Cricetulus griseus: one gene and its partner. The protein of the gene in region 1 purifies or fractionates together with the protein of each later gene. This does not show direct contact. Links are inferred from orthologs where the notes say so. Each region holds a gene or a part of one and is shown on either strand. Other genes may lie near its edges.

Region 1 (3,648 bases):
GGTGATAATACTGGAAGGTAAGCACTCATTAATGCCCCACTGTGGGTTTAGCCCTCTCTAGTGGAAAACAAGTCAGGATTGCTCTGGACAGAAGCCATGACTTGCCTTCTACTGATACACTCTTGTACATAGCAAACAAGAAGCAGTGCAATCCCTGGGTCATGCACATGACCCTTACAGTAGGTAAAGCAGACAGTTGAGGGAATTGACATTTACAAATAAGAAAATGTTTGACAGTCAGTGTCATGCCACTAATAAACTGTAAAACTAGGATGAGAATGCAGCTTTTGATTCTTCATGCATTTATACCTTCTGGTTTATTTAATTCCTTCATCTTATTTAATTTGTACTTTGCTATATTTTTGACATCCTTGTCTTCCTGAAAGCATTTCTAAGCATGAAGACAAAAGTTCTCAGCAATAACCTACCCTTATCAAATGTTTCTAAGCTGGGCATAGTGGCTCGTGCCTGTAATCCCAGCACTCAGGACTCAGAGACAAATGGGTCACTGTGAGTTCAGCATCAACCTGATCTACATAGGGGCAAGTCCAGGCCAGCCAGGGCTACATAGTGAAACCATGTTGAAAAAAATTTTTTCCATCCTAACTTATTAGTGTTGTGTTCTAACTTCATTGCCACTCCATTTTAGTTAGAATTGACATTTTTAAAGTATTTATTGACATCTTGTATACTTCCTATATTTTTATAAAAATGTCTGTAATTTATCTTAAAATATAAGCATAGCTTAATGAATCCATTGGAACTGAATTTAGCAAAACCATTTGTTTTCTTTAAATGTAATATAAAACTTTTCCTGCCAAAGTAAACTTACAAATTATATGTTTCAAACTAATAGGTGTACCAAGCCACTTGAATGTAGATTATATCAAAGAATCATTGATGAAAATAGAAGATGTATATTCTGTGGAAGATTTGAATATCTGGTCTCTCACTTCAGGAAAATCCACTGCCATAGTTCACATGCAGCTAAGTATGTTGATAATGGGGTTCACAGGTGTCTGCTCTTGGAGCCAACATCTGAGCTTGTTATATGTATGAAGACACTTCTGACAAAAAAAAAGACTTAAGGTTGCTGGGTGTTGGTGGTGCACGCCTTTAATCCCAGAACTCGGGAGGCAGAGGCAGGCAGATCTCTATGAGTTCGAGGCCAGCCTGGTCTACACAGCAAGTTCCAGGACAGCCTCCAAAGCTATAGAGAAACCTTGTCTGGAAAAACAAAAAAAAAAAAAAAAAAAAAAAAAAAAAAAAAACAAAACAAAACAAAAAAAAAGACAAGGGAGGGTGAGATTCTTTAAAAGATAAATTGCAGGTCCAAAGGATAACAAAGTCTGGGAAGATTTCTCAGTGGTAGAGCACATGCCCTACCATGCATGAGGCCCTGTGTTCAATTCCCAGAACTCCAAATAAATAAATAATATTATTTAATTTTTTTGTACTTTGAGAAAGATATTACAAATTGATATCTTCCTGAGTTTTAAAGACAGCATATATATATATACTTTTGCTGTGCCATCTTTTATATAATAAAAAGCCAGATTCTTGTTTAAATCATTTCAGAGATTGATGGCTTTTAAAAATGAAAATAATATATGGATTTGGCTCTTTCTTAAGGAATATAAGGTCCTTAAATAAGAGGCTTGTATTCAGCATTCTCTCTGCTGAGCATGGAAAGACTGAGGTCATGAGAAGCCATTCTGGGCTTACACACTGTCTTCTCCAGAAGAAGGGCTTAGATGGGGGAGTCAGACTGATGCACATAGGGTCACAGTATACTGTTGTTTCTTCTCTGTATCTAGTTTACTAATGTATAACAGTGTACAATAGATAATTCAATATTTTCTTGATATTGCAGTTCCTGGAAGTTCATCTAAATGGGAAGAAGTGCAGTCCAAAGCTAAGCATTTATTACTGAACACATTTGGCATGTATAAATGCACTATTCAGCTCCAGAGTTACAGACAAGAAATGAACAGAACTTGTGCAAATTGTCAGAGTTCCAGTACCTGATCCTGTGTACTTGGGGTCTACAGCCTTATTTATCCTGCAGTCACAGACCTGAGAGCAATAAACGCAAACCTAATGGAGTCCCTGACAGCTGTGTCCATGTCAAACATGGTCTCTCATAGTCACTCGGGTCTGACTGATAACTGCATGATTTTCAGATGAAGTGTCCAAAGTACTGTTTACAGAGTGAGCTGTAACTCTGCAGATACCTCATAGAAGACAATCCAAGACCATACTTCATTAATTTGACAGAATACACAAGACGAACAGAAAGACTCAGAATTCAGTATTTGCATCTAAAACTACTTTTTACAGTCCTTTTATATGAAGTCAGTGCTAGCAAGCTCAGTGTTGAATTATTTGGGATTTTTGTCTCTGTATAATCTTGGCATCTAGTTTCTGGAATTGTGTTCCCTTTTTATAAAAATTAGCCCCCCAACAGATTTCAGAAAGTAATAATATCCAGAAAATGGAATAAGCATGTATTCCTAAGTGTTTCATAACTGTTTTATTTCATAAATAACTCTTAATTTTATTATTAGAGTCATACTTTATAAGCAAATTTTCCAGATATTACTGGTTTTGAATCTCAATGTTTTGATTATTTGTAATCTTATCAGAAATATTCACATAATGTGGTCATTGTCATTAAATTATTTAGGAAATTTTTAATATAACTCTGAATGGCAGAGATTAGATTTAACCTCAGATTACCTTACCATATAATGATCTAAAACAGAGGAGCAAGTAGTAGCATGTGAAGTTTTGGATTTCTATCTTCCCTGAAAATCACTTTTGTGCTTTATGTAGAATTATCTTAAGGACAGTAAGAGATGACAAAGCTTCAGCAGTTATCCACTGTCCTTTAAAGAACTGCCAATATTTGTTAGTAACAGTTTCCTTGGTGCCCTGTTCTCATGTGTAATCTGTATGAATCTTTCAGGTTCCTATCGAGGTACCTGAGTTTATTAATGCCTACCATGCAGAGTACCCTGTTACTCGAAAGAGAATTTATGTCTTATGTTATGGTTAGGGGGTTCTCCGTGCATTAGAGATATCCCCAAAGTACAGCCTTGAAGTTTCACAATAATGCCATAGCAGAAAGTTACAGAGGGTTGGGTGGAGAAAGTTCTTTGAGAAAACAAAAGGTGAAGAGTTTTGTTTTGTTTTGTTTTTTTAACTATGTATTGCACAAAATAACTGAAGTAAGAATGGCCATTAAAGCTAAATCTAGGGAAGTGGCATAAATATTTCCAACTAAGGGAACATAATTGGCAGAAGTTTGTTAAGGAGACAGTCGTGAATATTCATATCTGAATATTCAACAGTTGTTTTGAGATGACTTCTTTTCAGCAGAGACACTTTATTTGACTCTTGGCTCCTGAGTGAATCAGAGTGGAGTAACAATGTCCCAAGCAAGTTGTGAACTGAAATCCTAGAAACCCAAATGATGTGTAAATGGCGAGTGGGAAATAGGTGTTATCTTCATACTGCAGACTGTCCCTATGTGTAAAACTAAAATAAGAAAATCTAGATTATTATCCCAACAACCCCTAAAGTTGTTGGGAATTGATAATATCAAAAAAAAAAAAAAAAAGCTGATGTTACCTAATAAAACCCAGG
Region 2 (4,306 bases), on another chromosome or scaffold:
CCTCTTCCCTCCCATCCCTGTCTTTTAAACCTTTGAGAGTCCTTACTTGGGACAGAGGACACAGAGCACCCCTAGAGCAGTTCCACCTAAGGCCTTTCTCAACTGTAGATCAGCAAGGGGTGTGGAAAGGTGTTTTTTTGTTTGTTTGTTTGTTTGTTTGTTTGCCCCAGGTTGGGTGTTACCCGGGGATGCATGGGGGTGGGGGTTGGGGGAATATTCAGAGCCAAGGACTGCTCCCAGGGGTGCGTGTGTGTGCGCGTATGAGAGAGAGAGAGAGAGAGAGAGAGAGAGAGAGAGAGAGAGAGAGAGAGAGAGAGAGAGAGAGAGAGAGAGAGACTGAGTTAGGCACATTCCAATTTCTGAGGCTCGGGAATGAGGCTAAGATCCTTCATCACCGTGGGTGATGCCTGGCTAGGCTCTTGCCACTGTCCCCACGGCCTCTCAGGTGCCACCAAGTCAGTGTCTCACTTGTCCCTGGGGTATTATGGATGCTCCAGGCCTCACCATTGAAGCCGATCACAGCCTCAAGCTCCAGTTCGGCTACGTCGGTCTCGGTTTCGGGTAAATTTTGTTCTTCCATCTTGGAGAATTTCAACTCATTGATTCCTCAACTCCTGGCTGCAGCGTCTTTTGGTCGTTATGGTAACTGGCGCACGCATGCGTGCTAGGTTTACGCTGGAGCAGAAATCCAGCCCACTGAGTTCGACTTTATTTACCTTTTTGTAAATGTAGGGAGGGCTTCCTTATTATTTTTTTCACTCATTCTAGAAATTTAGGTGTTAGGTGAATACTGAATATGCAGAATGAATTCCCTCGTCTCCCGTGTAAACTCTGACTTTTGTCTTAACTATAAAATTAAGCCTCTTATGGTAACTATTAAAAGTAATTGAACACAGAGAATTGCCTCTGATGCGTAGGCTGCTATTAAAAAACAAAACAAAACAAAACACGGAATTGATACCTCCTTGTAAAAGAATTCTTTTTGAAAAGATCACTTTAAAAATTTAAGTACAGTATGCAACTATTTTCATGTATGTATCACTATGAACGTTGCTTGTATGAATATTTCCGGCTTCAACCTTCCAAGCACGGCAAATTCAGGCGCGAGGTATCACAGCCGGCTTGCTCTGTTGTTTTTGAATCAGAAAAAAAGAAAAAAAAAAAATGCGAAGAACTACGAGAGCCGGAGTCTGAAGCGCTTCCATCCCTGGGAAAAGGTTTTGATTCTGCTCAACAATTTAACCATTTTCCTTGCGTCCAGCAGTTCGTACGAATTAACTAAAAATCGATTGTTGCAATCCACTGTCTCCCAGGGGTGAGCTTTGGTTGGTGTGGTTTTGAGGCCCCTAAAATATGTTTTCTGTGCTGTCCGCTGGGCTCGGGTCGCGCACCTTCCGAACTGCGGGGAATGAGCCGCGCGGGCCGCCGTAGTCAGCTGCTGTGAGCAGGAAGTGTCCCAGCTGCAGGCGGAGACTGCACCATGGCCCCGGACCCCTGGTGAGTTGCTGGTGTTGGCAGTAGTTTGCCGTAGGACTTGGGGTGGAAGTGGCTCCCAGGGATTCGCATAAACCCTGGCCATCGTTGAACTTGAGGCTGTCAGCTTTTAGGGGTGAGCAAAGCGGGTGAGGATCCTTTCCCTGTTTTGGGGACCCAACCACATCCCGCCTCCCCGGCGCTAACTCGGTGGTCGGAGGGGGACACCGTGACCTGGGGGAGCTGGGACTTGAGCAGAATCGATATTTTCCCCCGCCTTCTGTGGGGGCTTCTCGCCTAACCTGCCTGTGGATGACTGCGTGTGTAGACTCCCCTGGGGTCCTGTAAAAGTGAAGTAGAAATAACCTTTTGGTGGGATGTCTCTGCCTTCACCCATTAATCCCCAGAAAGGGAAGAAACTGAGGTTCAGACTCCATGGTCCCCAGCCAGTTAGTAGTTAGCTGGGCATAGGTGTAATGGGCTCTTCACAATAAGACTTGTAGCAATCTGGGAGGGAAGTTTGCACTTGTGATAGGCAGTTTACCCTTTCCTGTGTCAGTATCATGAAGACTTAACGTCAGCAAGAACTAGTGCAAAAGTCAGCACCCGATAAGGGCCATTTATTCAGCAATGAAGCCCCAAGGAAAGAATGAAGAAAATGTGTTCACACAAGGAACACATTGCTATACAGTCTTGACCTTCCTGTTTAATAATTTATAACATTGTATTTCTATAAAGTTCTTGTTGGAGGATATGCCTTATGTGGGTGTTTCTGGTACAGTTTATAATTGTTTGATGGCAGACAATTTTAAGTATTAGGAGAGTGGATCCCAAGGTCAGAGTTAGAGTTACCTGGGATTTGAGATATTTGGGCTAGTTGCTGAAATTTTCTTGGGCTTTCATTTGTTTGTGTGCTTTGTTTCCATTGTCTCAGAGAGCCCAGTCTGACCTTAAATTCCTGATCCTCTTGCTTCAGTCTAAGTGGTTCGATTACATGCAGCCACCATGCCCAGGAAATTGCTGAATTTAACACTTCTTACTCCCCCCCACACACAAGTTTCAACAATTGTGTACACCCCTGGTAGAAAATTTGGAGACTACTGAGTATCTGCAGGAAAGAAAATAAATAGCATCTTCATCATTTGGAAAGAACCAATGTTAACTTCTTTTGAAGACTTTTATTGTTTGAATCTATATCCTGCTTGTATTTTACACAACAGGAAGCGTGTCTCCATATCATTAAGTAGTATTTAAAAATGATTTTTACATGCATATCAGTACATCATCTGAATGTTCATATATTTCAGTTTTTCTCAGTGGTAGAACTTACTACATGCAAGGCTTTGAGTTTGGTCACCAGCAACACAAGAAAGCTTTCAACTGTCAAATGAGAAAGCCACTGAGTAAAACAATTGAGACTAACAGTAAAAGAGTTCTAATGCTTCAGTGTCTTGGGGTAAAATTCCCCTGAGTCAGATCTCATTAGACTACTGTGCCAAGTTCTGTAGAAACTGACCTCTGCTAATCTGTCCTATTTAAATGTACCCTGCTAACAGGGCCAGTACTTGGTCAGGCATGCTTTCTTCAATTCTTCTGTGCTTGTGCTTTCCATGGTGTTTAGATTTCACCCCTCCTTCCAGTATGGAAATCTGCTTTAGTCTGGAAGTCAGCCCAAGATGTCCTCTTGCAGCCCAGCCAATCTGAGCACCTCTGACATCAGTAATGTCTCCCATCCTAACTCCAGAGGTACTTAATTTAGGTCTCGTATTTGATGGAATTGTGTTATGGATTTTATATGTTTGATCTGCCCTTACAGAGCAAGACTAAGCTCCTGTCTTCATAGCTGATAGTGTGAAGGCAAACAAGTAAAATGTGGGGAATCCGGGGCTAGGACTATTTTCCTTATTGCCTCTCTTTTTAAAAAATTTTATATATAAGCCAGGTGGTGGTGGCAAACACCTTATATCCCAGCACTCAGGAGGCAGAGGCAGGCAGATCTGTGTGAGTTTGAGACCAGCCTAGTCTACAAGAGCTAGTTCCAGGACAGCCTCCAAAGCCACAAAGAAATCCTGCCTCCAACACCCCCCCCAAAAAAACATATATAATATATATTAACCACCTGCTCTTTTTCATACACATACCTATACCTGAATATACTGAATGATGCATATTGATGTATATGTGAGTCTAGGGTTAGGGGTGACACTGTCTCTGAAGTGCTTGTGAAGTTCACAACAAAGTTCTCTCTGTAGGACCTGGAGCCACATCCCCAGCCCAAGTTAAACACTTTTCTTCTTTCTGATGCTGGTGATTGAGTCTCGTGCACTGAGCTATGCCTTTATTCACTTTTTAAAAAAGTTTGAGACGTTTCGTTAAGTTACTTCAACCTTACGGTCTGCTCCTTTAAAAGCTTCTCTCTTTGGCTTGTTGGCGTCTCATTTCCCCACCATGGAGTGAGATCCAAGCTGGCCAGCTTGAACAATAAAAACAAACCTTTTGCTTTTGCATCAGTGTCTACTCCTGGGATTGGTATGGGACTCCTTGAACCTGGCACAACATTTTCTTTTCTTCTCTCTCTCTCTCTCTCTCTCTCTCTCTCTCTCTCTCTCTCTCTCTCTCTCTCTCTCTGTGTGTGTGTGTGTGTGTGTGTGTGTAGACCAGGCTGGCCTTGAACTCACAGAACTCTGCCTGCCTCTGCCTCTGCAGTGCTGGCATTAAAGGCCTGTGTCACCACCACACCCAACCAGGACTTTATTTAAAGAACTTTAAACCTCTTCCTCTTTGTATGACTTTGATTTCAGGTTCTCCACATATGATTCTACTTGTCAAATTG

The links. The genes of interacting proteins can lie anywhere in the genome.
Region 2: the proteins of Slc30a4 (region 1) and Stx8 purify together in Homo sapiens (co-immunoprecipitation; 3 studies listed by BioGRID and IntAct, with this or other methods). This does not show direct contact. The link is inferred for Cricetulus griseus from reciprocal best matches to the Homo sapiens genes SLC30A4 and STX8.

The regions. Positions count from the first base shown.
Region 1 is NC_048599.1:55,840,962-55,844,609, forward strand, and holds part of Slc30a4 (zinc transporter 4), read left to right. Parts: coding exon 1-17; intron 18-856; coding exon 857-991; intron 992-1,873; coding exon 1,874-2,028; 3' UTR 2,029-3,648. UniProt on the Homo sapiens protein: Probable proton-coupled zinc ion antiporter mediating zinc import from cytoplasm potentially into the endocytic compartment. Controls zinc deposition in milk.
Region 2 is NC_048600.1:81,830,665-81,834,970, forward strand, and holds the start of Stx8 (syntaxin-8), read left to right. Parts: upstream 1-1,362; 5' UTR 1,363-1,480; coding exon 1,481-1,497; intron 1,498-4,274; coding exon 4,275-4,306. Other genes in the region: Cfap52 (cilia- and flagella-associated protein 52), read right to left, coding at 505-580. UniProt on the Homo sapiens protein: Vesicle trafficking protein that functions in the early secretory pathway, possibly by mediating retrograde transport from cis-Golgi membranes to the ER.